Kluyveromyces lactis: one gene and its partners. The protein of the gene in region 1 interacts with the protein of each later gene in a biochemical or structural test. Links are inferred from orthologs where the notes say so. Each region holds a gene or a part of one and is shown in the gene's direction. Other genes may lie near its edges.

Region 1 (6,338 bases):
AACCATCCATTGAGCCATGTCGACAGCGATACGGAAACATCGCAACGACGCGTGCAGAAGATAAGTGACCCTCAGAGCACTGGATATGAAGTTTTGCCTCATACTAAGATGTATAATTTGAACGATTTGGATTTCACAGAATCTTTTTCAGAGAAGGACATTCTACAACCAATTACACCAATCTACGAAAGACCCAAAAACAAACGCATGGATATCGATCCAATATTTACCAATACATCAGATGAAAGCTCAGAACAAGAGCATAAACGTCACAGGAAATTCAAACCGATCTTTTTACAAGAACAAGTTGTAGAGATGGAGCACTGGCCCAACTCTTCACAGCAACAGCATCTACAAACTAATAGCATGGAATCCATCACATTGGATCCCATAACGCAAAAGAGAACTCGCCAACAGACGCTAAATCCATCCTTTTTACGACTGTATGCATTAGAAACTAGTATGAAACAGAAAAATTTATTGCCTGACCTCAACTTAGATGAGTCCATTCTACAACGGCTTTCAATCCAAGAAATTTCTCAGTTGAACATTCCAGCAGATCCATCCAACAGGATATCACCACATCAAATCAAATTAGCACTAATAACAAGAAAGAAGCTTTGGTCAGACATGTGCCAGGTTACGAGGACAGATCTTCACGGTGAGCATGCACCAGCAAACTTGAAATTCGTCAAGGCAACAACTGTACGTGATTCTTCTTCATCAGATATCGAAGAAGATGAAAATACAAAGGAAACTACGTCACTCGTGAGATTGAACTCCGAGGTGAAACCTTGGTCACAACCAGAAATGTCACAACCAACTATGTTCAAACCATGTGGCAGAATTTCCCTTGGAAAAAACGCTAATTCCAAGGAGATTCAATACGTGGTGAAAGGTTGGTGTGACTGTAGATTTGCATGAACTCGAGCTGATAATATGCAACATAGATAAACAAAAAAAAAACAACAAAAAAAAGCATTTACCTTCCTATCACCGATACCATTATACAACCATATATGCATATATAGATATAGACATAGATATTTATTCTTCCCACCACTTCACTTTCCTATTCGAGATGTACTCGAGCAACTTATCAATTAATAATGATGCTATGACTTTAGTACCCAATGTATTAGGAACTTACGATCTTTTATGGATTAATAAGACACAGTAGGTCCCTCATGTCCACAAAAACCATCACATGATAACTACAGTATCTCTAAGATCTCATCTAGATATTGATCAGATAACACCATCTTCTAAAGCTTCAACACACACCCCACACAGTTCTAGCAGTGAGTTGGTTCACGGTGTCTATATGCAGTGATTTTAGTCACGTGATAAAGCCACAACGGATTTTTAAACTACTTGATTCAGCCAAAGTCCGTTCATCGAATGAAAAAACATGATGGTCTAAAGAGCATAAACGTATATAACAAGAGATTGGGATGAGATAAATCTAGCAGCTTCAATCAAGGAACTCCCCTATATCGATATATCGGAGACAGATTTCGAAAGTTTCCTAACATTATAATTAACTGCCAAACTCATCCTTTCAGATCGCAGTATCCAGTTTTAAAAAAAGTGGCACTTACAATACATAGGCTACAAGCCAATTAAATACAATTTCTGACCAGGCAGCTGAGAAATTGTCAACCTTCCAAAGATTAACACTGGATTTACGAAAGTCTGTTACGAGGGCGCGCAATCACTATAAAAAATGAGACCTACTCAAATTAGATTAATAAAAGTGAATCCTGATAAAATTCGCCGCGTTGCAGTCATCGGAGCTGGTCCAGTTGGATCAGGTTTAACAAAAGCCTTGCTGAATGAGAAACATTTCGAATCTGTCAAAGTTTTTGAGAAGAGATCCAATTTTGGTGGTCTATGGAACTATACAAAACCTTTACTGAAGGACTCTAATGTCACATCGTCGCCGTCTGTTCCTTGTGAATACCCTCACATTAGAATTCAACCTCAACCACACCCTGAAGAAACACATGTGTTCCAAACAGCAGTTTATAAATATCTAGATACCAATGTTCCTAAGACATTGATGGAGTACAAAGGTCACAGATTTCCAACAGACACCCCATTATTCCCTGTGAGAGAACAAGTGCTTGATTATATTATGAAATATTCCAAACCCATTGAAAAATATGTTACTTTCAACTCAGAAATTGTGAAAGTTTCTTACGAAGACGCAACAGCTGAATATTCTGTCAAAGCTCAGAACCTTCTCAGTAAGGAAATTACAGAGGAGAAGTTCGATGCCGTTGCCGTTGCTACTGGATTTTATGATCTACCATTTATTCCTTCAAGACCAGGTTTAAAAGAATGGAACGTGAAATACCCATGCTCCGTTTCCCATGCCAAGGATTTTGACTGTCCAGAAGATTTCCATGGTGTAGAAGGGGAGATTTTGATTGTTGGTAACAGTGCTTCTGGTGCAGACTTAGCATTTGAATTGGCTAACGAACTACAGAAGCCTATTTATAAGTCGAAGAGATCCGAATCCAAATTACCGGCCCCATTCGATCCTTTCATTAAAGATGTGCCTGATATTAGAGAGTTTAATCCGTCAACAAAATCGATTACCTTCGTTGACGGCACCGAATTAAAGAATGTGGAAAAAGTGATTTTCTGTACTGGTTACTTAAAGTCCCTACCATTTTTACCACAGAATGAATCTGGTGTCGGAAATTCCATTCTCAACAACTTAATTGGTGATGGTAGACGAGTACAAAACCTGTACAACCATATTCTTCCAATATCATTGCCAACATTCGGTATTATTGGCCTACCAAGGTTTGTTCTTCCTACAAGACTATCCGAGACCCAAGGTGCTTGGTTGAGCAGAGTATGGTCAGGAAGAATCCAACTTCCATCGGAGGAACTTCAACAGAAGTACCATGATTGGTTCATCGAGAAAAGTGGCGATGGAAGTAAGTATCATGATTTGGCATTCCCATGGGACGTCCAATACTCTCAACGATTAAATCGTGAGATTAGACATGCTGGTAATGGTGGTTATTTTGGTGTTGAATGGAAAGGAGATCAGATTAGAGCTAGGTCAGCCATCAACGCTATAAAAGAAGGATATGTCGCTTATTACAAAGCTACCGGTACAAAGGCCAAAACTCTGGATGAACTTTTGGAAAGTGGGTATCTCAAATGGCCAGAAGATTCTAAGTCCTGCGTACAAATTCCAACCTTTGTACCATAAGTTATCGAGGGTAAGTATAGTTCAATTATACTAATATCACAAAGGAACTTACGCATACATATTTGTCATTGGAATATGTCATTATCGACATTATCTTTGATAGATTTATAGACATGTCAAATAGATATAAATATGAATAATTCTGTACTTCAAAAGTGAATTAGGTATCAGCAGCTTCAATCAAAAATGAGAAGACTATTAAGTTATCACAACTATACCGTAGGCTTCAGCTGACATTTTTTCTTCTTTCTGCCGGAGGTAGAGATTTTGTCTCGGTTCTGATTCTGTTATGATATCCTTTGGAGAATGTTGAAAATATGAAAACTGACAAATTTCCATGTTTACCAGCTACATCTGGTAGAAGGGTTGCAAGGAAACTGTGAAAGGACTCTCAGGATTAATTGCCTGTTAGTAGTGGTGAATTATTACAACAATGAAGCGGTATAGTGTGTCATATGTTGAAGTTTGGGATGGAGATCGAGTTCTTTCTAGCTGGTACGACTCCAAGGACGAAAACAATAGTAAATATGGAAGCACTGATAAAGGGAGAGCCGATCAAAAAGCAGTGTTTCACAGGTTAATCGGCGATATGGTAATACGAACAGTGGTGAATCTTCCGGGAAACAAAGTTACAAAGACGTCTATCGACCTTATAGAGGGGTATGATTGCTATTATACAACTGCAGAGAACAATAAAGTGCTCATTTGTTTTGTTAAAGAAGAAGTCCCCAAATTCCTACCGTTGAGGTTATTATCAGAACTAAAATGTTTGAATAATGACAACGATGAATATTTGAAGAGTAATATCGATAATCAATTGGACAAATTCCATGAAGAATTATTATCTTATCGCACGGAAGGACAGCAGACAGCTGCATCCACTGAGGAAGAGCTACAAAACATTATTGCAATAATGAATGATAATATCGATAAGTTTTTACAGAGACAGGAAAGGATATCCCTGCTTGTGGATAATACTAATCAATTGAACGAAAATAGTTTTAAATTTCAAAGGAAATCCTCTAAGATTATGAGAAAAATGTGGTGGAATAACGTTAAGTTTTATTCCATTGTCATTATAGTTGTACTGGCGATTATTGTGATTGTGTCGTTATTATTACTACATTAGTTCTATTTTTTTTAAGTATAGGTAACCCATGAGCACACGAAAACGGTATAATTGTTTATAGTACTTATACTTCTTGCCACCTCTTCTCCACAAATCGATTATACGATCATTCCGTCTTCTGTTTTTTTGTGCTTAAATCCAGGTCGTTCTGGCGCGTGCTAGGTACTTGTTCTTGGTTGACTGGAGGCCCATCTAATTTATCATTTTCAGCGTTACCTTGTTGAACCTCAGTATCAGCTCTGGATTTAGGCTCGGCGTCAGCATCTGCGCCTTCTCTGCCATCGTCATCTTCATCATCTTCATCATCTTCCATTGCTATGTCTCCGTCCGCACCAGGCACAGCATTATTGACTTTATTTTGCTTCTTCCAAAGTATGGCTTCCTGGTACTCCTGCATCTTTCCCGTGAGTATGCTCTCCAAAGCACCTAGCCCCAACGTATCTAAAGCAGCCATGATATCCTGATCATTACAACTCTTTCTATTAGAATCCTTTGCGTTCATTCTAGCAAACATTAATAAGTGATTGACAAAGACTGTCGCTGACCTCTGCATTGCCAATGCAGCATCCTTACTAACCGTGATTCTTCTCTCTTCTTCGCCCTTTTGAAACGCGTTCTGAAGTGATTCCTTCGCTAGAGATGTGATTATGCTTTTAGGAAATAGTAAATCATCAATACTGATCTTTTCTTGTTCTTTTATATAAGACGTATTAGGATAATTTCCTTCAGAATCCTTTCTCCAACCTTTTGGTGGCATACCCGCGCTTGTTTGCCTCTTAGAGTTTTGTGAATTCTTTCATTTGATGGTTCTTATTTTCTTGAATCATTAGTGGTAATAAATCTTAATGCAAACGCACAAATTTCACTATAAGCATAATGATATTACTTCCACCAAGAGAACAGTAATGAAAGCTAAAAAAAAGTAGATAGAAGTAGTAACAGCTAATAGTCTGCTTCGAACTAGTCATCATATCCTCGATTAATATCGATACTGAACCATGTGTACCATATGCATTTCGTCTTGAGGTACTTAATCGTACGTGCCAAATAAACAATAGAAAGATTAAATCACGTGACATAGATTCCCATACTTTTTACATCTTTACAGCCTAGTTTCCAACTTTTCAATTTTTTCAGTCATGGGCATCGCATCTCATCACATCTCTTCTCGCAGAAATCAACTTAAGATAAGATATATAGCTTGATCCTCAGGCCTAGTAAATAATCGCTGAGGTGTGTGTCAAAGGCCAAGTAAGCGTTTTCAGCTGGTTTGTTTTAGGAGGGAAAGCAAAACCATATAAAGAAAAGTAAGAATTTAAACTTGCAATATGCTCAGGGCTGCCTTTCAAAGTTTGAAGTCAAAATTTGGCAGAAAAGTAACGTTGGATAGCTCAACGATCGATGTTTCTCAGTTCAAGGTGGTGCAAGAGGGTGATGCTAAGATATTATTTCCTAACAAGGAAACTGTGTTCTATAATCCAATCCAGCAGTTCAATAGAGATTTGAGTGTCACTTGTATCAAAGCATGGGATGAACTGTATCAAGAGGAACAACGTGAAAGCCGTGAACTGAAGAGCAAGAACAAGAAAAGGAAACCCATAGAGAGCAATGAAGATGGTTCCGATTACGATACTATCAAAAGGCGTAAATTAAACGAAGATCAAGACTCTGTAGCTGTGTCTTCAAAAGATCATTCTACCAGGCCGTACATCAAAATTTTGGAAGCATTGAGTGCAACCGGGCTACGTGCTATAAGATATTCTAAGGAGGTTCCTAATGTGAAGACTATTGTAGCCAACGATTTACTACCAGAGGCAGTGGAATCCATAAAGAGAAATGTCATCTATAATGAGGTCTCGGATAAAGTTGTACCCAATTTGGATGATGCAAATGTGCTGATGTACAGAAACAAAAGCAAAAATGAGAAATACCATGTAATTGATTTGGATCCATATGGTACCGTTACTCCTTTCGTCG
Region 2 (6,353 bases), on another chromosome or scaffold:
TGGTTAAAGAGAGAATTTGAATGCGGAATGCAACTTCTGCTGTTATAATGGAGTTTTCGATGTTTTCGCCTAGCGCTAGAAGCATCTGGGATTCATCTTCCTGATATATTGGGTTTAGGTAATTAATTTCGAGAGATTTTCTTTCAATACCGCAGGAAACTTGATACATTTCGTTTAGTTCCCAATTTTGACATTTTGGAGTTAGTGACTGACCCATTTCATTGGAAATGTCACATAACAACCTACCTGCAAATAAATCCCTAACTATGAACTGTGTCATACTATTATTATGTTTTCCAAACTTGTCTGGCCATGCTTTCCGCAGTCTTCTCCCAAAGACACTAAATTGAGGAATATTTAACTCATAAGCTCTGTGTGCCAGAACATCCAAGATGACACCTTCCAATCTATGTCCTATTATAACATCAGGATCATTTACCTTCAAGAGAGCACAGAAACAGTTTAATAACGTCTTTTCGTTATTGAAGAGACGCACATTTCCGGATAATTCTTTCTTTGATTTAGGTCCCAGAAGAGGTGGAAAAGTTGATCCTTGTGGAGGCCTTACTAGTGTCACTATTTCATTTGGTTTGAGATTTTGTGGAATTGATGAATCTTGAGATAAATTTTTGAAGACAGCCATACTTATAGCAACAATTTCCTGCTTGTTTTCTTTTGCATTCATGACGGTCTGAATAGACAATGATATACAGTTCAAGCTCGGAGATGATTTTTCATTCGTTGCTGAGATATGATTAGGTGAATCAATTTGAACCTCAATAGCACAATGCGAAGCGCCTTGAACTGCATCAAAATCGCCATCTGATATCTTAAGCCAGCAAGGGCCCATGATTTTCCTTTGGACAACAAAACTCTCAAAAAGGTTTTGGTTACCACCGAAGACGTGACTGAATGTATCTCCCTCAAGTTCAGCGGGAATAGTAATTGACTTGCATTTAGGAGTATCATAAGGTAACAAAACCTTCAAATACTCCGCTTCGTGTGGTATTCCTGGAAGTTCAAAGGCATACTTTTTCGTTTCAGGCTTAGCGCGAAGTGATTGTAAGCCATATTTATCCAATAATAGAGGTACAATTTCTTGGTGGACATCAGACGCTGTTTTACCCTCCTTAGGTAGAAAATACAGCTCTCTATTGAAACCATTGATTTGCGCCATTGCAGAGACTACTTGATTCTTTCTCGTTTTAACTTTACCAAAGAGAATCAAAGAAGAGTTGACTTCGGTAAAATCAGTCCAAAAAAAGTTAAAACTACCGGTCTCAGCGTCTACTACATCCTCTTTAGGTATTCTTTGTCTCAGTGATCCGGAAATTGATTCTGTTGCTTGTGTGGACCCTGTAGAAGTTGACAATGGGGTGTTAGGAGCAGTGACATATGTTGGCGAAGACGTTAATGGTGCTGTTTGAGCGCTGATATTCATCTGCCTTTGAGTAGCTATTGATTTGAATTTTTTTCTACCAAAGTGAATATCATCTTCGTCATCTTCACTGTCATCTTCGCTTTGATATGTCTTCTGCTTGCTCATTGAAGGAGAACTAGCCACATCGTTTAATAATGATTCAATATCGTGGTCCTCTTCCATTGAATCACAATCGATAGGATTAACGCTATCAGCTTTAAAAGGTACAACATCTTTACCTTTAAGTGGGGATGTATCTACCTGAGGGTGTTTATAGTTCATAGGCGTAGTATTTGCAGGTTGTTTTCTGGATATCGTTAGCTTCGGCTTCTTAACCAGAGGCTCTGCGTCAAATTCACTCAAAATATCATCAAATTCAGCAAGTGACACTTTCTTAGGTTTTTCTGTTGGCATTGTCATTTTTCTCTTGACATTTTGTTGCTTTATGATATCGCTGATGGTATCCTTACCTTTGTTATTCTTACTGGTCTTATTACGCTTTTTGCCTGACTTTGCATCAACACCATCGTCTTCATCAGAGTAGAACTCCTGACTTTGATCCCATTCATCTACACCACGATCCACATATCCACTGCCATCATCATCTTCAACAAAATCATCTCTTAACAACTCTTGTCTTTTCTTACTCCTATATTGATCCTCGTCAATCAAGTCATACACATTTTCTTCTTCCAGTTGTTCATCTAGCACATCCCTATTCGATTTATTATTCCTAGCTTTCTGCAATTTTTTGAGCAGTTCAAGTTTGTTCGCATTACTCATCCCGAGCTAGTGTTTTAATAGTGTAGGGTGGCAGTACGAACTACCCTAGTAATTTAGTTTTGTTGTCTTTCCTGGTTTGAGTTGCAAGAAGAAGATGATGAAGATGTTCTTACTTTTACGCGTTCTTTTTTTTTTTAAAGTTGTATCTATCTGCAAAGCACGCGTTCGAAATCTATGAACTTAATGGCACCAACGCTGAGACAAAGCGAGAGTGCATGAGAAGAAAAGCGAGCGAAAGATTGAGTGACAGTAGAATACCGACAACACTTGAGTGGTTAAACGGTGAAGCCGCTGAAGTGTTAGAGAGTGTGCGCTCCTCAATATTATGATACGAATTTCCATTAGTTGAACCAATTGGCGTTGGCTTGGAAAGAAAAATGGATCACATGACCTGTGGTTTAAGACTGTCCTCAATTTTAAAGTGCTCAAATTGAGGTTTGTGATCATTAACTGAAGGGAAGGATAACTGTTAAGGAAACAGCTGATAGCAGGACCCGTAAAGATAATCGCGTTACATCTGATGTCCTTTTATCAAAATAGTACTCCAAAAAAGGAGGACAATCGTGCAGATTCTAGTGGAAACGATGCGGTGCCTTTGTTGATAACACTAGAACAGAATATTCAATTACTCAAGCGTAAAGCTCATCTAATAGGGACAAGCAAGGACGGACAACTATTGAGGGTTGATATAAAAAATAGAGTAATCCCCGAAATCCAGAAAATTAGTCGAAAACTGGCTGACTTAACTTCGCTAGATACACAAGATAAATTTGCTCGAGATTTTCAAGCGTTAAGCAAACAATATAACAGTGTAAAGACCGATTATGAGAATAGGGCAGTACAGAATCCCATACCTGACGAAGAGAGTAAAGATAATGAATCGGAACATCTCGTATCGCAATATGAAAGCATGCCAATACAAGACGATATCGAGAGGAGGGATCATTCTTCAGAGGATACTCCGTTACTTTTGTCTACCCAACAGCAAGAGCCTTTGTTGAATCAGGATGAGTTAGATTTTCACACGATAATTCAACATGAAAGATCCCAGGACATATCAAAAATCCACTCTGCTGTGCAAGAGGTCAATGCCATCTTCAAACAACTAGGAAGTCTGGTACAGGAACAGGGCGAACAAGTTGACACAATTGGCGAAAATGTGACAGGATTATCTAATAATTTGCAAAAGGCGAACAAAGAACTTCACAAAGCAAATGAATATCAAAGGAAAAAGAACAGATGTGGTACAATACTTCTAGTAGCTATTGTTGTTATCACTCTAATAACTCTTATCGCGATTCTATCATAGGGTTAGATTCTACGAGGAATGTAACTATATATTAATACAAAATTTATCTCTGGCCTTATACTTGGATGAAAGTTACGTTACGTTTTAGAGAACACGCATCATCAGGTAAATATGTCCGACTTAGAGGTTACAACTAATTATTAATCATAGCTTACTTGTCAGTATCCTTTTTAGTGCTTTCGGAGGAGTTATTTTTGGATAGTTCATAAGACTCAACATTCTTGAGATCTCCACGTTCAATGACAAGATTTTTGAGAAGTCTGTTTTCCATTTCAAGGGTATTGATTCTTTGCTTCAAGTCACAAGCTAACTGTGAAAGATCTTGGACCCAAGTTTCCATTTCTTTCTCTTTAAGTTTTTTAGTTTGATCCAAGTTCGGCAGTTTGGGTCTTGAAGAAAGGGTTGAGGAAGTGGACGACGATTCTACACCATCACTGGAGGAATTGTTTTTATCAGAATCAGTATTATGCTTTTTTTCGTTTATCTTCTCATCGAGACTCTTAGCAGCATTTTCCTTGTCATTGAGAAGTTCTTCCGATTGTCTCACCTCTTCCTTCAATTTAGCAGACGTTACATCCTTCCTAAGAGAGGAAGCTGATTCTAGTTTCCTGACAACTGATTTTGGTGTTTTACTGATACCATCATCCAGTGTTTGCTTTGCAGAATTCTCTTCGCTTTCTTTCTTTATGTTGTTAGAAATTGAGCCGTGGTGCACTTTCGGTGAGTTTTTCATATATGTATCAATAACTCTAGACTCTTTTTCCACTGGAGTTTTTTTGGCTCTTTTTGGATTAGGTTTATGGACACTTGATTGAGGAGATGGCTCAGGTTTTTCATGCAAAAAATCCAATAGCATGCCAACGGAGCTTTGAATATGTTCTTGAGGTTCAGGAACCAGTTGATTTTGCGAATTCACATCTATCGATGAGCCCAGATGGGAAGCTGACGATGGTGGTCTATTTGTAGAGTGATTATTTAAATTAGTTGGCTTCCTCACAGGAGGATCAAACTTTTCTCTTTCTCTTTCATAATAAGCCATAATAGCAGCTATGGCGTCAATCTGTTCTGGTTTAAAGCCAACATTACGCAAAGACTGGTAAGCACCTCTGGGAACATTAATGATAGGCAACAATGATACCAAAGTCGCAGTTTGTATTGTAGAGTAGTCTGGCATCTGTATATTTGATTCAAATCCTGATGTTGCAGCCGTACTTGGACGATACGGATTTTCGTTGCTATTGACATGATTATTACCATGGTTACTAGCTGTGTTGACGATTGAAGAGGCAGACGATACAGTGGTATTGGACGGATATGACATTGAAGTTAAATCATATGCGGCTAATAAATTTGTTAGTGGGGAAGTGGCAAACGGCATATCTCGTTGGCGGTTTGCACTTGTGCCATTTAGGTTGCCTGTATTATGACTATTGGATTGGTCTTGAACATCAAAGTGTGTAAATCCTCCATGATCGGGGATCGGAGAATTCTGTGTCGATGACCTTTTCCTCGAAAACCGTTGCCGCGTATGATCATACTGGTTTCCCAGCAGGTTTGATTTTCTATCGAACAAGTTTCTCTTTTCCGAAGAGTTTCTGTTATTATTATTATTATTATTATTATTATTATTATTATTGTTATTATTACTATTATGATTGTTACCACTGTTATTATTATTGTTATTGTCGATGTTATTATCATTAGTACTAGGATTAGCATTGTTGTTCAATCCGAAGTTATGGTTGCTGTTGTAATGGTCGCCGTTGTCATCGCTATCATGTCTATCAGCTTTGTCTTCATCTGGGAAAATAAAAGTCTCATCTGCGAAAACACTCAATTCCGCCGCTAAACGTTCATCCATCGCGAGCTGATTATCTGCACTTAAACCACCAACTTGATGATTCAAGGGCATCCCACTAAATGAATTTACAGTGTCACCATGAGGTCCCTCATTGTTGTAAAAAGAATTTGTCACATTGGGTCCAAAGTCAGAGTTAAAATCAGTAATAAAATTATCAACAAACGCTAGTTGTTCCAAAAGAATGCTAGGGGTAACATCATTATTCACATCAGCAGGGGGGTTAATCAACGAATGTAAGTGATTCGATGCGGTAGATGGAGAATGTGTCGAGAATTCCGGACTGTTCCCCCAAATGTTGTCCATACCTTGACTGGGATGACTATCATTAGGATTTCGAATATGATTATCCATATTCCTTGCACCAACACCGCTACTGCTGCTACCAGTGCGCTTAAGATTATTGGAAGTTCCACTATTCATAGCGGAAAGAATGAGAGAAGCCGGCTCGATAAATAAAGATTCACTGTCGTTATTCCCTGGAACTAAGGCTCAAATTTGAATGTGGCCTTTCACTCGATGCTGTTGATATCAACAGTAGACGATGATTGAAAATACTTTAGTTTGTATTATTCTTCAGCTCAGGTCTCGTGCAATTTCATCAAAAGTCGGGAAAAAAATGAGGAAAGGGAAAAGAAGAAGAAAAAAGTAATCACCAAACTGTGGAACGTCTATTACCCGGACAAGAAAATTACCCGGATACAGACATTACATCAGCCACAGTACAAACTGCACGTGATACGAAGCACGTGATTTGTGTTCCCTCGTGTTGTTCGCTTTTTTCTTTTCTTGCTTTCCTCCGGTTTCTGCGATCACCCGCGGAAAAATGTTTATTTATCCATCAGTATTAGTGCCTACATTCTCATTTCTCGAGTCAGTAAGCAACCCCGCATTTTATTGCTGGAGTGTTACCGCGTAGATGCTCTCACACAGATAGAAAAGCTCGCTGATCTAAAGAATGATTATACATATCGTAAAGAGAA
Region 3 (6,005 bases), on another chromosome or scaffold:
TAGCCATTTAATGAAATGTATATATCTTATGTTTTTTCTAACAGAGATATTGTGAATTCTATTCAACCTTCTTCTGCACACATTTTGAAGTACCATTGGCAACGGAGTTCCAAGAATAAATTATAGCCCCTGAAAACACTATAATAGTCCCAGAAATAGCTGTTTTTGTCATGTGGTTGCCGAAGATGTATACGCTTAAAAGAAGACTCGCAAATTTCCTGATAAGCATGATGACAGATAATGTAAGAGCGTCAGTTAAACTTGCTAACAAATTGACACTCTGAATACAGATGAATTGGGTCAAGTTATTGGCAATCAACATGAATAATTTTCTTGGAAGATTTATGTTCGTATACGGTAACAGGACTGTTTCTTTTGACTCCATCAATAGTGGAAGATCCTTCTTCAAATTCAAACGAGTGAAAATTGGAAACAATGGTGTTGAGAGTAGATGACAATAAAACGATGACTCTTCCCAAAACCTTCCATACTTACGAAAGGTATACTCATTAAGAACAGCGAGTAATGACATCGCCATCGTTGATAATGAAAGTAATAATATACCGAGAAATAGCCTGTTTGACCCGTTAGAATATTGAAAGCTTTCCAAAAAGTTATGCCACGACGTAATTTCAGTAGACCTGAAAACAGAGGTAATTATGGCCCCAAAAGTCATCATGAGTGCTGCTATAATTTGAGCAAAAGGATATCTCTTTTTGAGAATTATTGAACTGAAAATCATGGTGTTTACGGTGCTCAAACATTTGATGACAATGTGTAATGGAATTGAAATGTTGTACATGAAAACGTTATTATTAAGAACAGATCCAATGAAAAAGAGCAACGCTGACGTTGAATGGATAAAGAACGGTATCTTGCAGGGTTTTATTGAGACTTTCCTCCCTTTTAAGCTGACAAACTTCGGCAGTTCAATTAGGATAACGAATATAAACTGTGTAAAAGTGACCACATTTCCCAACCGATCTTTATTATCTAGTAAAAGTTCTTCTAAACTCAATACATTGGAACAGCACCCACCAAACAACGATAAAATAGCCAATATTTCTATCATTACTAAAGAAATGAAATTATGAGATCAATTGGTCAACGTAAGGGTATTCAACACATGGAATGGTTTCTATATATATAGTAACTCTCTCAATCGACAATAGGAAAAAAAGGACTAGCAATCAATTGACCTTTAAATGAATCCAATAGAGTTAATCTCATCAATCCAATTGAATTCAGTAACCATGAATACCCCTAGACTACACATCCGGAACGATTTCAAATCAACTTAAACAATCTTTCTTTCATGATGACATGTATTGTAAAGAGGTTGCCTGAATTTTATATGAAAAAACGTTTAAGAACCATAAATGCGAACCTTAAAATAGACACGCATTAAACCAACGTATTAAGGGCACGTTTGTCAGAGAAAGAACAGCGAGAAAGGCTCAGTTGAACTAAACTATTAGTGTACTCAGGAACCATTATTTATTGGCTAAAATTTTTATACTTGTACTGACCCAGTGCCATCAATAACTTTAAGGTTCTTTGAAGGTTGAGATTCCAACTGCTATAAGATGAGTTTCCTATTCTATGGAGATTCGAAGCACCTGAGGAAGCGAGAGAGCTTCCACTTTGCGACAATTGAAAAGAGTGATTATTCTAAACAGTTGCAATCATTGCCTTTGCTTCCCTCTTCCTCTTCATTGAGACAAGATCATATATTCTCCAATGTGGCCAAGGAAGTAAATCAAATCAGTGACGATGTTGCCATAATTTATTCGAGACTTCAGGAAGAAATCGATACAGAACAATCGCAGACGAAAGAAGTAAATAACAAGATCAACCACTCGGTAAAAAAACTAGAGTCTAGCTTTTCTAAGTTAGTAAAACTACGATCAAAATTCACTAAGGATTCGGATAAACAGTTAAAACAGTTCGAAAGCAAATATTCTGACATTGATAAGAAGGTACGAATAATCAGAGATGTGAATGAAGAATTATTAGACTACGTAACTAGAAACGGTAGTATAAAAGTTGATGCGACGCAATTCAGCAAAATTTCAAAGCTGTTGCAAGAAAGGTTCCCAGAGAGTAGTAACACGACAGAAACCGAAGCGAATAAGGACAATAGTGGGCAGTCACAGAACGAAGCTAATTCCGAGAGTTTGAACAGCTCTTATTCGAGGCAAAGTACAAATGGAAGCCAAAATAATGCTAAAAAAGATTATCATAGTACCAAAGGAAATTCAGCGGACTCAAACACCACCAAATCGTACCGTCAGTCGATATCCTCGGCGCCATTAGCACTGTCATCAATCCGGAGTACATCAAGGCCATCAATCGCTACAACTCTTGAGCATATATGTATCACAGAACCGTTCACTAGACCTCGAGGCATGAGCAAATCGGCTGACTTATGAAAAGTTTCATGTCAAATTTACCCATTATTGATCTGTTCCACTTTTTACTTCACCGTTCAGTACATTATCTAATATCTTTGAGAAAATGACATACAATCCAGAATCCTTGTAGAGATCAACTAAGCTCTCTTTGAACCCAGTCTGTTTCTCAATCAACTCGACAAACGTCGGATCAATTGGAATATTCCCCAGGTACGGAACGTTATATTCGCTGGCTAATTTGAAACCGCCTCCTCTAGAGAAGATATCTGTACATTCAGCACAATGAGGACATATAAATCCGGACATATTCTCGATGACACCGAGTATATTGAAGTTGACTTTCTTACAGAAATTGATTTCCTTTCTCACGTCTGCCGTAGCGACACCTTGAGGCGTGGTAACAATAATAGCACCATCAGGTGCAGCCCACCTCAACTCTTCTGCGATAGATATATGTTCATCCGAAGTTCCGGGCGGTGTATCGATAATCAAATAGTCCAAATCTCCCCAATCCACATCTTTTATAAATTGTTTAATCATAGCACTTTTCTTAGGACCACGCCATACCACACTATTACCTCTATCATCCAAAAGAAAACCCAAGGACATGAGTTTCAATTCCCCTCCTGATGTCGTAGGAACACTAACGGGTATCCAACCCTTAGAAGCCTGATAAACCTGTTTATTTTCTAAACCAAACATTCTAGGCAACGACGGTCCAGTTAGATCAATGTCTAAAACACCCACTTTGTATCCCTTTAAACATAAAGTTAATGCTGTCTGTGTGGTGACAGATGACTTACCAACACCACCTTTACCAGAAAGGACCAATATAATGTGCTTGATGTCCTTTAAGGACTCAGGCATACCCAATAATTCGGTTTCAGCTGACATCGAGATACAATTGATTATGATCCTGGGACACTAAACGTACCAGCCACTGCAGATATGACTGTATATGCTCACAGTGGACAGAATACTTATAAAAGGGTATACTGCAAATACTTTTCTCAGCCGTTTAAACAGTAGGTTGACTAATACATTTAACTCTTAGCTTAACTAGGATTTCATGATGATAATGATACCTTTGTCAGAGCGAAGGGGAAACCTTCGAGGACAATATCACGTGATTAAACTTCAACAAAAAGTTTTCGTTAAGCGAATCGATTTGGTAGTAGCTTACAGATGGACTAGGAAGTTCCAAGGTGAAACTGCACTTAATTCCCTATGGTTAGATCTGAGTATCTTGACAAATCTACACTTTGTATTTTATTGTTGAGGCACTAGAAATAATTAAGGTATGAGTTCAAACTATAGTGGAATGCAAGGTGATTTGACACAGCGAGATGCGAGTAGGACGCAATTGTTTGCGGGTACTGACTTCTCTAAGTATAAACAACAACAGGATAGACCAAGTTCGCCGTTTGATAGACCATCCCCAGGGGTAGATTATTCTCAAGCAACACTTTCGCAGCTCGAGTCTCAAAGTGATGAACAAATGAATACCATGAGTGAAAAGATCAACGCACTAAAGAATTTATCTCTACGAATGGGAGATGAGATTCGTGGTAGCAATCAGACCTTAGATCAGTTAGGAAACGTTTTTGAACAGACTAGCAACCGTTTGAAAAGGACTTTCAAGAGAATGATGGTGATGGCTCAGAATTCTCGCATTCCATTAAAAATATGGTTCATAATATTTGGTGTTCTGACACTTTTGTTCTTCTACGTCTGGATACGTTGAGAGAGCGAGAGCGAAATAAAAAACCACAAAAGGGTCATGTACTGAAGAGTATCCCATCGAGCATGTATATCTAATTCGTATTGGTTAAACGCATTCCTTCACGCATTATATGTACCATTAAAAAGATATATTAATAAATCGTAACTATCAGTATTAGGTTGAAATATAAGATTATTTATAGGAAGAATTCCTGTTCCTCAATCCATGAGCTTAGCTTCCTTCCCGAGGATACCATGAGTATCCCGTTTTGCAGCGTAACGTCTTTTCAGTTTATAATGATGAATGGTTCTGGGTATTTTCCATAACGCCAAGAATGTCACCACAACAAATAAGTAATTGATTCCGCTAAATTCGCGGAGGTAGTCAATTAATCTGAGCAATCCACTGAGTGGAGTTCTCAAAAAGATGCGTTCAATACGAAGATCAGGGTGTCTTGCGGGGAAATTCAGAATGGAGAGGACTTCGGGCAACGTCTCTAGGGTGATGTATTGTCCAGAAGCATCCTTTTCGTAATAGATGGCTTTTTGCTTGTCCACGACAATGATATCACCAGTCTTGAACTTCCTGAAGTAAACATTTAGACCTTTATTATTCAAGAGAGAAGGGGATTCATTAATGTCCAAATAGGCAAATATGACCTTGTGATTATAACTGTAATTTATCTCTTTTCTCATGGCAGTGACTATATCAACGGATGGTGCGTTTTTGTTCTTAAGCTTTTGCACCAGTTTTTTCTTTTCTTCTCTGGCCGTCTTAAGACCTTCGTACACCGCCTCGTTACGCAATATTTCATAACTATGTGCCGCTACTCGTAGGCCTTCGACGATTTTCTTTGAACCTTCTTCAAACTTATTATTCTTCTTATTAACCAATTGAATTACCAACTTGTCATAGAAATCTTGTTCAAATCCTTTTAATGCTTCAAAGTTTTTGGATGTAATCTCAGTGACAGTTGGAAGAGAGTTTATAGTGAGCCAATCCAAGATGAAGTCCAAATTTCTGGTTTCAGTTGTTGAATATCCAGGGAATATGATCGGAGTAAACGTAGATTTCTTGAATATGAAGAACGTTGGTGATTGGGTAATGGATGTCGTGATAAAATGGTCCTCATTAATTTCAGTGCGTTGATCGGTATTATAATCTTTGTACAGAGTTTGATAGAGAGTATGGCTTAACTTCTTTAGGTCGTCAGTGTTCTTGTACAAGTAAATATTAGGGATGTATCCCAATGGGTCAATGAGTTGTTCCAAAAATTGCATATCCTCAGGGACAACAGTTTCCGGGTTATAATTAAATACAAGCAATATTTTATCGGCTTCGGCATTTGCTTCCAAAATGTCACTTTTTGGTTCTTTTACAAAAGCTTCGATCTCATCCTGATCAATATTTGGAACGTTACTGTTGTGTAAAGTTCTTGTAGCAAAATCAATCAAGGATTCGCTATCGACACGCTTTGGACCAAATGGGAACTTAATAAAACTACCACTCTTGCGGTTAGGTAAGATCAATGCAAATTCCGGGGCTCTTTCTAACCTAGAGTTTCTCTTCTGAGTCAAAGTATCGAAGGACAACTCCCTACAAATGGCTTCATTCTTTGAAGAATCTGTCGGATTCACACAGTTGAAATGTACCGTATTGATTCCTATCGAGTCAGCCTTGTTACTTACCAACTTCCAAATCCGTTGAAAAAGCGAACAGTCTTCACAGTTTTTGAACTGATAAGAAGATTCGATATCTTCAAAATCAGAGGTTGGCCAAAATGAGACAAAGTATGGTTCAGTTTGAGGTTCTGATAAAATCTTCAAGAGCTCACCATCATTCAACAGTTTACTCTTGCTCGATAGTTT
Region 4 (6,376 bases), on another chromosome or scaffold:
GAAACAAGGATGCTGTTGATGAAGATTTGGTAGGAGGGAATATTTACACAATGCCGAACCAAGAAATAGAAGAGATTATTTTGTCTTTGAAAAAGTTATTGGATGGGAACAGAATGGTGCGAGAACGCGTTGATGCAATTGATGATCAAGTGAGAAGGACCCAGATGGATCTTGAGAGTTTAGTGTCAAGAAGTTCAAATAACAATAAACACTTACAAAGTTTGCTTCTTTCTTCGAAGGATATCAAGGAATTGCACGACGTATTGGATAAATTGAGTGTGCAACAGCATGAACAGATGGAAAAGAACCGCGATGTGGAGTCTGTTTTGACGCGGTTAATGGAGAAACAGTCTTTGGAATTAAAATCATCGATGGAAAACGTTGAAATTCAGACATTGGAACAGAAAATTAGTCAATTGGAGGCCAAGTCTGGGAAACTGGAGTCCCTTGATGCTCAGGTCATCGCAAAGGAGAAACAATTGGCAATAATTGAAACAAAATTACAGGAAAGGAAGGAAAGATTTGATGAGCTACGACAAAGGGCGAAAGAAGTACAATCATCTTTACAAGATGATTTACTGACCCGTTACAAGACAGTTCACGATACTATGTCTGTTTCTATGGCGAATTTGGCCAATGGATCTCGCCCAGCGGGAAACACATCACGTGTAGCCAGTTTGCTACGAAATAAATATATGAATGACACATTCAATGGAAATAGACGAGTAATATCGTTAAACGAGCCAAGACCTTCATCGTCTTCTGCATTTGATAGCATACCGCAGAATAACTCTGATTTTGAAGATTCTTCATAAGATTCCATATACAATCGATAAGTAAACGCTATCATCTTATGTGGAAATGCATCTTCACATTGCAGTAGAAGGTTTACTTGATCTGAAGGAAAGGGATCATAAACATAGATTCATAGCTAATAAATTCCTTATGTAACATTAATGATGGATGAACTCATTGATTCCTTTGTCTGGAGATCGAAATATTTTGCTCCCCTTACCTATATAAACGCTTGATTTTCATATTACTTTTCATTCACAGAGAAATAGTGCACTTGAAATTTACAAGGTAAATAAAATAATCAAGTAGCAACTAGTACAACAATAAAAACTGATGGCGAGTTAACAAGGGAGAAAGAACTTCAAAAAGCAACATTCGGAGTGTTGAAAATGGAGGAGATCAAAGATTCATCCATCCTACGTCCGTACTATGATCCAGAGACTTTCAATGTTGGTTATTCAGCAGTATTTCAGAATGACAAAGGTGTCATCGACCAAAACGGTCTGAATATCGCCTCTAAGTTAACAATAGTAAATCAATCGGTGGGCAGCGGCTTGAAGTCGCTTAATAGAAGTTTATCAGGTGGTAACACCTTAACTGAGTTAACCACTGGTCTCAAAAACAAATTTCTTCATGGAATCATGAACTCCAAACACGGTAATAATGCCAAATCCCTTAACGATCTTGAATGGAATGATTTTATCAACGTGAATGTATGGAGACACCTTCTTGAAAGGTTGCTTAGGCAGCTATCCTCAAAATACTTCCAGCATTTAATTCGCCAACCATTCGAAATTGCAAAGTTGCTTTTGCAAGTAGGTGACTTTGATTACCTTACAGATGGCAATAAATCAGCCTACTATAATGATAATGATAATGTTAATGACAACCATGAATTTGAAGATGATGACGATGACGAAGCCGAGCCAAACTTCTTCGTCAATGAGTCACAAGCCAATCTGATTGAAAGAGCAGCAAAGGAGGAACAAGGCGTTGCTGATGAGAATGGTACCTTAATCAAACCTGCAAGCATCCATACCATTGATATTTTAAACAGTATTATGGATAAAGAAGGTATACAGGGTGTATGGAGAGCTAATAATACTGAATTTATTTATAATTTCCTATCCATATCGTTGGATGCATGGTTTACTGGTTTATTATCTCCGCTGATGCAAATTCCAGATCCATATTTTATTGATATCATACACTCACCAGACGTAACGAAATCCGCAAGCTTAATTCTTTTGGCAAGTTGCATGACAAGACTTGTATTATTACCGTTGGATCTCGTCAGAGTTAGGTTAATTATCTCTTCTGTTCGTAACGATGGTTCCCTTTCTGATAACGATAGATCCTTAAGAAAATTGTTGAGAAAATGGTCCTGGAGGGAAAACATATCCAAACTAAATAAGGAATTGGTCTTTTTGAATATATTATATTCCCTGGTAGGGACAGGATTTAGCAAATTAACCGGTGCAATACTATATCATCAGTTCAATGTTGACAAATTCACTAATGTGATTCTGTACAACACATTAAAGTTCTGCAGTAAAGTTTGTGAACTCTTCGTAAAGCTACCAATTGAGAATCTATTGAGAAGGAGTCAAGTGAAGTTCTTGTTCACAGAAAACCCATTCCAAGTACAATCTGAAATGTTAATCATAAAACCAAGGGAGTACCAATCCATCTACCTGACGGTATTCAAGCAGTGCGACAGAATTAGTGAACTATGGCGAGGCTGGAGACTCGGGCTTCTAAGCATTTTATGCGGTTATGGTTTGAAGATTTTAAATAAGCCATCAGAAATACTCGAAGAGGAGAAGTTTTAGTTCATGTAGATATCTATAAGTGAACTGGACATTGAAGGAAAACATACATATATAAAATAATAATAATAATACAGATGTCTTTAGTTTAAGAAAGTCGTAAATTCATATCTACGATGAAGGCTTCTGGTTCATTTCGCTTGCATCAATCAAGAACTGGCCTAATACTCGAAGTGGATCCTCGGGCTTTTCTCTGGCTATCAGTTTCATTCCTTCCAATAAATGTTTTGTTACATGTTCATTCAAATATCTTCTAGTGGTTGACCCACCGATCATCGCTACTGGATCAACACGATCATGATCAATTTGTAGTTCCTTCTTGGGTGATACTTCTCTTTCTGTTGTAGCTGCAGTTGCAGAGGTAACAGTTCCAGATGATTCCCTTGGTATACCCGATGGAGACAGGGGTTCAGTGGTAGAAATCGAAGAGACGCCAATATCCGGTACAATATGTTCTTCTTTCTCAAGTTTTACCACATCTTCAGGTGCCATATTCTCCATCACTGGTTCTGACATGTAGATAAGCTTCAGTTGTGGCAGGAGACCAGGATTGGAGCTTTATTCGGCCAAGTCTAGGTGTAGATCTGTCCATGTATATAGTCAAAACTCAGTGATTTTTCAAGATTGTCAATAATAAAAGGAAAATAATAACAAACTGAAATCTTAAACAAAGTTCACCAAGGCAGGTACAATTCGAGCTCCCCAAGAAACAGACCGCACTGAATCAGGTAATACCAATATTATATCAAAATTAACCACCAAAAGCAAAGAGGACAAAATGGATCCATTTATTCAGGTTTTCAAGGACACAGAGGAACAATTGAACCAATTATTGCAGATATTAGATAGGAAGAAGAAAGGGAGATCGAACACCAGTTCGAAAGAGATCTCGGAAATCATCTCTGAGGCTCAAGAGACTATCCAAGATCTAAATGAGAGTATAGAAATGATGAAACAGGAACAAGCTATTCCCGAATACGAAATTCAGACCCGTGAGAAGTCCATGGCAAACCTGGAATCAAAATTGAAACAATGCCAGTCGTTAAATATCGAGACAACCCGCGACACCGATGCAGCTACCCAATCATCATTGCTGCCGCAGCAACAACAGCGTGGCGATTCCTTCGATTTGGACATCGAGGCAACTGCAGGCACCGACCAATCAGACGCGGCAAACCACGACGCCGTACAGGAGCAATTACTCCGTGAACAAGACAATCAATTGGACATGATTCACCAGACAATGCAAAACATTCATCTACAGGCATCTACAATGGGTCAAGAACTAACAGAACAGGGCATGATTCTCGAAGAAATGGACGGAAATGTCGACGGAGTCATGAACAAACTTTCCAGAGGAAGACGACAACTAGAATGGGTCTACGAACACAACAAAGAACGTGTCAACGACTGCTGCATCTTTCTCTTAATCATTGCATTGATCATCCTACTAGTACTAGCATTCATTTTGTGATGTATATCACCGAATTTGAACCGGGAACCAAACAGAAACCAAAAAAGGAAGAAGACGATGCACATTCCCGAGTAACGAAAGGTGCGAAGTTTCCTAAGAGAAACTGACACAATTCTTGACCCCCCAGTTGACGGATCGTCATCGTCGTCGTTCCATTCCTCTGATAGACAAAATACCTCTCGACACTGTTGCGGTATGGAAAAAAATCGGAAATCACAACATACGACAGCGGCTTTGAAATCGTACCACAATGGAGCTTTCGAACTGATTTTTTTGTTGAAATATATAGAAAGTATGGAAACTGAGAAATGGAAAAGTATTAAGACCAAGTTAGTTTTTAAGGTACAAAAGCAAAAGGTTGCTTGCTGGATTGGGTTTTTTGCACGTCAAGCTACAGTGTCAGATCCAAGACTATCGAAGAGAGCGATTTCATTTAAGAGGCGAAGGGCACTAGGATTAGGACGGAGTTGATAATACTTACTGGCATTCATTCCCGGATTTTCTGTGTCTTGTAATTATCGTTTGTTTCCCGACTTTTTTTTTCTTTCTCTATTTAGGATTTATTCAGGCTCTTTTCTTTAGAATCGTTTTTGAAATTTTTGGCCTGCAAAAACCCTCTATATCTCTTCACTTGATTTAGACTAGCTGAAGGAATCAATACAATATTGGCAGCGGCGTGTGTGATATTTCACTATTTTGTTTAGTCCCCTCTCTAACAATATCCATTGATAGAAATTGAAGTCAAGATTCTTATAGTTTCTGGCTGTTCTCAGGGATAAAATAACAGCACAGTTTTTTTTTGCCTTACTTTATTATATTCCATTTTAATTTTGCATTAGGTACCGTGGGGACTGATTCTTTGCTACTTCTAAATATTCTCTACTAGAGGGGCGAATCATTTGTACAAATTGGTTGATCCAAGCGTTCTGTTTAACCTCATTTTTCACCTATTTTCTCTCTTTTGGTCCAGTTGCGAATAGAAGATTAAAGGTACCCCTTCTTGCTACTGCTTGTTCATTCGGTCGGATTTTAGCACAGATAGAATCTGTATCTTTGAATTGATTAACAGAAAAAGAACCCATATATAGAGACAGAGAGCAGCGCAACGTTCAATATGAGCAACACTGAATTCATCGATAAGTTGGAGTTTGCATCTCAACCCTCGGGAAAATCTGAGGGGAAGCATCACATTGTTATTGTTGGTGCAGGTATCATCGGGGTATGTACTGCTTATTATTTGACAAGACACCCTTCGTTTAGCAAGGATACACATCACATCACCGTTATAGAGTCTAAACGTGTAGCTGGCGGTGCCTCTGGTAAAGCTGGTGGTTTACTAGCGATGTGGGCTTTCCCACAGCAGATTGTCCCACTTTCTTTCCAACTCCATCAAGAATTGAGTGACGAGTATAACGGTGAAACCAAATGGGATTACCGTCGGTTGACCACAGTTTCCCTTGAGGCCAACGTTCAAGATGATACCGTTTCGTTAGATCCAAAAGAAACTGGAAGCAGTGTCAACGATAATAGTAATGACGGCGATGACGACGAAAGTTATGCTAGTAATGATGGAAAGACTACCTCAAGAGCAAAGCCATCGCAGAAAAAGAAATCCAAAAAAGCATGTGCAGTGGTGAACAACGAACCTGTTTCCAGAGTGGGCACCACTGAAGACGACGAAGATTACGAATATAGTTACGGAGAAGATGATGAAGAGGACGAGGCACCTGCATCGGAGTTGGATACAAAATCCTCGATTGCATTATCTAAAGACCCATTACGTCTACCTAGTGATTTGAACTGGATCAAAAAACGGTTGGTGAGAGATTGGTCATCTCTTGGTGGAACTGACTCCACTGCTCAAGTACATCCTTTCAAATTCACTCACTATCTACTGTTGAAGGCAATGGAGACTGGGGCAGTGGATTTAATCCTGGGCAAAGTGTCACAGTTGCATTTCAACGATCAGTGTGCCGCAGCGGGAGTATCGTACATTCCAACAGTTGATGATCCAGAAGAACAACGTTTACAAGAACCAGTTGACCTTTTGGACGTTGACCAGGTTGTTCTATGTATGGGACCTTGGACTTCTAGACTATTGCCGGATTGTCCAATCTCTGGTTTAAGAGCACATTCCATCACAATCAAACCATCCACCGGAACTGTTTCGCCATATGCTATATTTACCGAATTGAAGATATCTTCCAACAAGTATTTCTCGCCAGAAATGTATGCAAGAAAGGATGAAGTGTATGTGTGCGGTGAAGGTGATACTCTG
Region 5 (6,418 bases), on another chromosome or scaffold:
CCAATCTTTTATTTTTAATAATTTCTTGTAAGGAAAGTTCAGTATCAACACTATTTCGAATTTTATCTCGTAGTGCTTCCTGAGTTGCCTTCAGATCATTTATCTTAATCTTTAGTTTTTTGTTTTCTTCTATGGATGCTATCAGCGGTTCCTTTTTATCTTCTTTGAACTTTTCCAATCGTAATTTTAATTCATTCTCATATGATTGAATTTGTTCATGGTTTTTACGTTTCAAATCTTTTAAATCATTCTCTATGATCGCTTTATCTGTGCTTAACTCTTCGATTTCTTTAAGGACAGCCGGATCAGGTTTAGTTTGTTTTAATTTTTGTAACTCAAGTTCCCAGATGTGTCTTTTATCAGATATTTTCAGCTGCCATTGATTTATCACTTCTTGTATATTTATAGAATGCTCTAAATTCAAGTTGTTAGTTATCAGCTCATGGTTTTTCTTCTTTAGCTCACAATCGTTCTTCAACTGATATAATTGTTCCTGCATCACCATGGTCTCTTGTTTCAAGTGCTTGAAAATGATGGATCTTTTGTTCAAATTGTATTTGAGCTGCGGGATAACCTCAGAAGTAAGGGATTCCAACCGAGAATCCGTTTCCTCAATCTGTTTAGTAAACAAGTGAATATCTTTTAAAGCTTTTCTCTCTCTTTTCTTAACCTCCTCAATAACGTTGGGATCCCCATAAAAATATTTGTTCAATAGTCTCATATTCGTACTTTGACTCTTCGTTTGATATGAAGGAGCAAATTGCTCCTTCTTCGAACCGCTACTGTTAGCTACTGTCGTTGTTCCTGTAGTGGTCACCATATTCGTTATATTTGCTAGCACAGGATGATGCTTCTTCTGTCCAGACACAGAACCTGAAGAAAACGGCTTCTGCCGTTTTCTTGAATTTATAGATGGAATTCGAGTCTCATTCATAACAAAAGGTCACTGTTCATCAATAGCATTGACTTGACAAGCTCTGATCAGGATTGTCGCCGCAATCGTAATATAATGCCTACCTTAAAATCAGGTAATTGAATAAAAAGAAGAAAATTAAGGCGCCCGTTATCTCGGTAGTTACAGTAACAAACGCACGGCCCAATTTGAAATCAGTGATACACAGGTGAGACACACCTGAAACCGAACCCAAAACCTGTTCTGAACAACTGTTGATGTTTCAAGCTTTTCTCATACAGTCTATTTGTTTATGTTTACAAAAAAAGCGATGAATACGTAAAATGTCATTTGAAAGTCACGTGGACAACAAATATATCTTTTCTTTATGTGAAAGACGATATGGTAACCGGGTAACAGTAAAATACCTTTAACTATGTATGTATTGTGCATAGATAGCACCGGTACACAGCGTGGGGAAACTTTTACTGATGCATGATAAATAATAATAATGATAATGGACTGCGAACGAGCTTGGTTGATTGCTCCTATTTACAGGTAATGCAACTGGTGTCACTCATGTCATGCTTCCCCTGTTGGGAAAAAAAGAAAGATCTAAAGCTGTCTCTTTTCATATGATGACTGAATTCAGTTTAGTCATTCTCTCTATTCGAAGTCTGAAGATGAAACATTTCTTGTCATTGAAGGAAGAGCGACTCTGATACCATCGATATCCTTATTCATTTTAATGCAACATCCCAATCTACTTGTCTCAGTTAACCCGTAAGCCAAATCCAACATATCATTTTCATCATCGTCAGGTTCTTCTAATGCGTCGTAATAGTCTGGGTCCACAATCACGTGACAGGTCGAACAAGCACAAGAACCACCACAGGCACCCTCCATATCTAGATTATGGCCTTGAGCTATATCCAAGAGAGAGTCCCCTTCTGCCACTTCAAAAGTCTTTTGTGTTCCATCCTTCAATATGAATGTCACATGCAACTCTTCTCCCGGTTTCGGTTTATGTAAATGTCCATGGTATCTCTTCCATGACAAATTTGTACGGGCTAACCATATGTTGTGAGAGATGCTAGGAGAAGTAATGCTTCTGGCTCTTAACTGGTTCAGATGCCCAGCTTGTCTAGTCAATATTCCTCTGATCATTGATTATACAGGAGTTTTTCCAAATAGATATGGATGATTAAAAATAATTCACAAACAACAACGATAAGTGTTACTAAAAGGAAACCAAAGACCCTTTCCGTCTGCTATACCACAATGAGAAAAAAAGCTGTCCTGAACTTTTATCAACTCTGATTCTTAAGTAGCTTTTATTTGGCAAAAAAAGGTTGCTTTATATCTAGTTCTCCCTTCAGTTCACATCGAAATTGGCAAATGCTTATTGTTAATCATTCAATTATTGAATCTCATCGGATTTTTCCCAATTTGTCAGTGTTCATGAAAACGCCGGTATGAAATGAAACCAAAGACAAAAAAAACAGACCGTTTCTGGGCCTGATTCCACCTCGGTCTTCCGCGGATTTGGCGGATGTGGTTCAAAATGATTGTTTGCCCTTATCTAGATACTGGTCTTTACATGACTCAATCAAAGTCACGTGAACAATGTATTTTTCTTTCTTTTTCTTTCTATTCCCTTTATTGAAGCTTCTCCCATGAGTTCAAGTTAATGTTAGGAATCAACGAAAAGCAGGCCTGGTGATTAAGCTGTTATAGCTGGTAACGGGGCCTACTTCAGACGTACATTGGCCTGCAAGTTTACATTCAAACCTTAAATTTCCTTTAGGTTGTGAAATTCGGGAAGAGATAATATAAAAAGGAAGGTTCTGAACCATATTATTTTATCAGGATGTCCTCATTATTGCAGAACTATGAATCTGAATGTCAAGTCGCTATAAACCAGGCGAAGGTTTTGCTTGCTAATGCTAAGAATGATGCCGGTGCTGTTTTAAAAGGTGGAAAATCGGATATACTTTTACAAATTCAACAGTACCATGATGAATCTTTAGAATTAGTGGATCAAATGGAAATAGAGTTGAATAATACAGGGAACTCGTTGGATTCTAAGACAAGGGCATCTTATAAAGCAAAGATCAGAGATTATAAGAGACAGTGTCAGAATGAAATTAAGGATCCTTTAAAGCAATTGGTGCAAGAAAGCGATAGGAATAAGTTACTTGAAGGTCGCCACTTCGATAATGATGAACAAAGGCAACAGCTTTTATCGAACCATGCGCTTTTACAACGTTCTGGTGATAAATTACAGGATGCTACAAGACTGGCATCCGAGACTGAGAACGTTGGTGCACAGATAATGATGGATTTGAGATCTCAAAGAGAAACATTGGAGAATGCAAGACAAACTTTGTTCCATGCTGATTCGTACGTCGACAAGAGTATTCGCACTTTGAAAACCATGACTAGAAGACTCATAGCCAATAAGTTCATTTCTTACGCAATAATAGCGGTTTTGATACTACTTATCTTGTTAGTGATATTCTCCAAATTCAAATAGTAATCGATTTCTCTGCGTCTTTTAGTTCAGTCTCAATGCAAGTTTAAGCAGAATAGCTATAGTAATGAATTTATATAATTTTAATTTTGACCCTTGTGGTATAATTTTATACTCTCATGAGAAGAATACAATTTACCGTGTATAAATGATATCTGATTTTGAATACTTATCTAGTTGTATATAAAATAAGAACGATATAAGAAATAATAATAATAAAAATAATAATGATAATGATAGTAATAGTGATGGAAAAAGGCCGGTCAGAATAGCATAGCGCTGTTCATGGAAGACATTCTAATTCATCTTCATCAGCTGAATTGATAGTGGTATGAGATAGACGCCTCCTTAATTCATTTACTAGACGTGATTCTTCTTCGGCTAACTGGTTCTGTTTCAGTTTCTCGAAGGTCACACCTTCTTCATCGTCTTCTTCGCTACTGATGATGCTTCCGGAGCGCTGAGCAAGTTTTGCAGATTCACGTCTTGTGCTACCAATACAATGTAGATATTTCTCCTCTTCTGTCAACTCAAGTTGCGTAGCTGTTAAGTTAATTAACGACTTGGAACTCTTACGCCTTGCAATTTTACGTGGCATGTTAGGCTTTAATTCGTTTAACAATGAATCGACTTGAGTTTTGTCTAAATTGGACAGAGTGACAGATGATCTAGGAGTTCTAGGCAACCTGACACATGATAAACCTGTGTCATGAATCCATTTAGCCACTAGCGCAGTCCAGCCACACTGATGGCTTGCACCCAAGCCCCTACCAGTATCACCGTCGAAATATTCATAGAAAGGAATTAGTTCCTCGAAATTAGGATCCTTAGACAAAAACTCACTGTATTCACCATGATATACAGCTCTTTGGCCTTCGGCATCGGGGATGAATAAATGAATTAATCTATGCTGAAGTTCTTCTGCCACTTGGGCCAAGTTTAGGAACTCGCCAGACCCCGTTGGACACTCGACTTTGAAGTCAGGACCATAGTACAAAAAAAACCTTTGCAATGACTCGACAAGCAAGAAATTTGTAGGGAACCAAACAGGCCCTCTCCAATTGGAGTTACCACCAAACATACCTGAGTTTGATTCACCTGGTAAATATTTGACTTCGTATTGTTCACCGTTAACGGACATAGAGAATGGGTGGGTTTCATGGTATTTAGATAGAGATCTTATACCGTAATCGGATAAGAACTCAGTTTCATCGAGCATCCTAGATAAGATGGCTTTTAACCGATCTTCATTAACAAGAGCTAATAGAAGTCTCTCACCGATACCTCTTTTTTCCATAGAAGCAATATTTCTATCAAACATGGCACTTCTATTGGAAAGGAACCAGTCAATACGTTTCTTAAAGCCAGGGAACTTATCTAAGATTCTCGGTTCCAAAGTCATACAAGCATACAATGGAATTAAACCAACGAGAGACCTGATTGGTAGTTGTTGCTTAAATGGTTCACCCCAAGAAATGGCATCGTAATAGAATTGGTCTTCTTCATTCCACAAACTTTCTTTGACTTCCTCTTTGAAGTTGTCTGCACTATTCTTTTCGAATTTGAAGGACATAGAATCACTGATGTACAAAAAGTGTTCGAAAAACTTAGTGGCAATGTCTTCATAGACAGGATTTTCCTTTGCAAGTTCTAATGCGATATTTAACATTTGCAATGAGAAGAATGCCATCCAACCAGTCGAGTCTGCCTGTTCCAATGTTCCACCTGTTGGCAAAGGTTCTGATCTATTGAAGATACCAATATTATCCAATCCTAAAAATCCACCTTCAAAGACGTTGTTACCGTCATGATCTTTGCGGTTAACCCACCATGTGAAGTTCAACAAAAGTTTTTGGAATACTCTTTCCAAGAACACTCTATCCTCACGGCCATACATATTTCTTTCAATCTTGAAAACACGGTACACAGCCCATGCATGAACTGGAGGATTTACATCACTAAAATTCCATTCATAAGCAGGAATTTGTCCGTTAGGATGCATGTACCATTCTCTCGTAAAAATATCCAATTGTTTCTTTGCAAATTCAGGGTCTATCATAGCTAATGGGATACAATGAAACGCGGTGTCCCAAGAAGCAAAGAATGGATATTCCCACTTATCTGGCAAGGATAATATATCTTCAGCATACATATGTTTCCAATCCTTGTTTCTCCCATTTGCACGGTTCTTTGGTGGAGGAGGCTTTTGCAGTGGATCACCGCAGTACCATTCGTCTTGCACGAAATGATAGAATTGTTTTGACCAAAGCAATCCGGCAAAAGCTTGTCTTTGCACCGCTCTCAGAGATTCTGGGATCGGAGCCGGAGTGACTCTCCAGTAGAAGTTATCCGCTTCCTGTTCACGCCTATCGAAAAGACTGTCAAAGTCATCTTCGTCGATAACCATTTCATCTTCGAACATCGGTAACCTGGTATCAGTCAACTTATATCTTACAGTGACGTATTCACCAGGGGGAACCTTGGGAAAGTGGTAAACACCACATGCCTTGGTACCTTCATTCTTCGGATTTACTGCCTCGGTATCCTTATTGACGATATATTCGTTGAAGGCATCCTTGGTATAAGGGGTGGGGTTTTCCTTTGAATCAAACAATTTCTTCCAATTCGATTCGTTTTCTGTGAACAACAACTCCGGTTCCACATCTAGGATACCTTGATCGTCATCAACACCATTAGTAGCAACTGTAGTCGGATGATCATCTTCTCCGTCGTCAAACTCACCCGGTGAAGGGGCAAAAATCGCGTAAGTGGTCCCATATTTCTCTGTGGACAAAGTAACAAAGTTATTACCAGATTTCTCTAGATGAGGCTTAACACGATCGGTTTCGTTCCAGGACCAAGTATTTCTGAAAAACACTTGTGGTGAAATATATAATTCCCCTGTCTTCGAGGTACTACGATTATAAGCTGTGATTCTAAAACTCAAATCGTTAGGATTATCGTCATCCTTGGCCATTTCATACACGATATCG

The links.
Region 2: the proteins of NYV1 (region 1) and VAM3 form a complex in vitro, tested with the Saccharomyces cerevisiae proteins (11 studies listed by BioGRID). The link is inferred for Kluyveromyces lactis from reciprocal best matches to the Saccharomyces cerevisiae genes NYV1 and VAM3.
Region 3: the proteins of NYV1 (region 1) and BET1 form a complex in vitro, tested with the Saccharomyces cerevisiae proteins (2 studies listed by BioGRID). The link is inferred for Kluyveromyces lactis from reciprocal best matches to the Saccharomyces cerevisiae genes NYV1 and BET1.
Region 4: the proteins of NYV1 (region 1) and TLG1 form a complex in vitro, tested with the Saccharomyces cerevisiae proteins (2 studies listed by BioGRID). The link is inferred for Kluyveromyces lactis from reciprocal best matches to the Saccharomyces cerevisiae genes NYV1 and TLG1.
Region 5: the proteins of NYV1 (region 1) and VTI1 form a complex in vitro, tested with the Saccharomyces cerevisiae proteins (2 studies listed by BioGRID). The link is inferred for Kluyveromyces lactis from reciprocal best matches to the Saccharomyces cerevisiae genes NYV1 and VTI1.

What each region holds. Positions count from the first base shown.
Region 1 is NC_006042.1:1,797,594-1,803,931, reverse strand, and holds NYV1 (Nyv1p), read left to right. Parts: upstream 1-3,665; coding exon 3,666-4,361; downstream 4,362-6,338. Other genes in the region: GIS3 (Gis3p), read left to right, coding at 1-924; KLLA0_F19470g (uncharacterized protein), read left to right, coding at 1,727-3,232; DPB4 (DNA polymerase epsilon noncatalytic subunit), read right to left, coding at 4,468-5,118; TRM1 (tRNA (guanine26-N2)-dimethyltransferase), read left to right, coding at 5,690-6,338. UniProt on the Saccharomyces cerevisiae protein: Vacuolar v-SNARE required for docking. Only involved in homotypic vacuole fusion.
Region 2 is NC_006039.1:1,126,179-1,132,531, reverse strand, and holds VAM3 (SNAP receptor VAM3), read left to right. Parts: upstream 1-2,723; coding exon 2,724-3,512; downstream 3,513-6,353. Other genes in the region: DNA-directed DNA polymerase alpha catalytic subunit POL1, read right to left, coding at 1-2,203; MET4 (Met4p), read right to left, coding at 3,664-5,793. UniProt on the Saccharomyces cerevisiae protein: Required for vacuolar assembly. Provides the t-SNARE function in a late step of the vacuolar assembly. Required for homotypic vacuole membrane fusion, autophagy and fusion of biosynthetic transport vesicles with the vacuole.
Region 3 is NC_006040.1:1,196,615-1,202,619, forward strand, and holds BET1 (Bet1p), read left to right. Parts: upstream 1-3,714; coding exon 3,715-4,158; downstream 4,159-6,005. Other genes in the region: YEA4 (Yea4p), read right to left, coding at 59-1,072; VAB2 (Vab2p), read left to right, coding at 1,587-2,432; iron-sulfur cluster assembly protein CFD1, read right to left, coding at 2,457-3,308; protein disulfide isomerase EPS1, read right to left, coding at 4,356-6,005. UniProt on the Saccharomyces cerevisiae protein: SNARE required for targeting and fusion of ER-derived transport vesicles with the Golgi complex.
Region 4 is NC_006041.1:316,765-323,140, forward strand, and holds TLG1 (Tlg1p), read left to right. Parts: upstream 1-3,402; coding exon 3,403-4,098; downstream 4,099-6,376. Other genes in the region: KLLA0_E03477g (uncharacterized protein), read left to right, coding at 1-815; mitofusin complex protein UGO1, read left to right, coding at 1,185-2,627; SDC1 (Sdc1p), read right to left, coding at 2,736-3,140; TDA3 (Tda3p), read left to right, coding at 5,213-6,376.
Region 5 is NC_006038.1:897,207-903,624, reverse strand, and holds VTI1 (v-SNARE protein VTI1), read left to right. Parts: upstream 1-2,762; coding exon 2,763-3,428; downstream 3,429-6,418. Other genes in the region: CIK1 (Cik1p), read right to left, coding at 1-934; YAH1 (adrenodoxin), read right to left, coding at 1,559-2,059; KLLA0_B10263g (uncharacterized protein), read right to left, coding at 3,709-6,418. UniProt on the Saccharomyces cerevisiae protein: t-SNARE found in various SNARE complexes involved in multiple transport pathways. The composition of the t-SNARE complexes is specific for a limited number of v-SNAREs and therefore allows only the vesicles carrying the matching v-SNARE to fuse.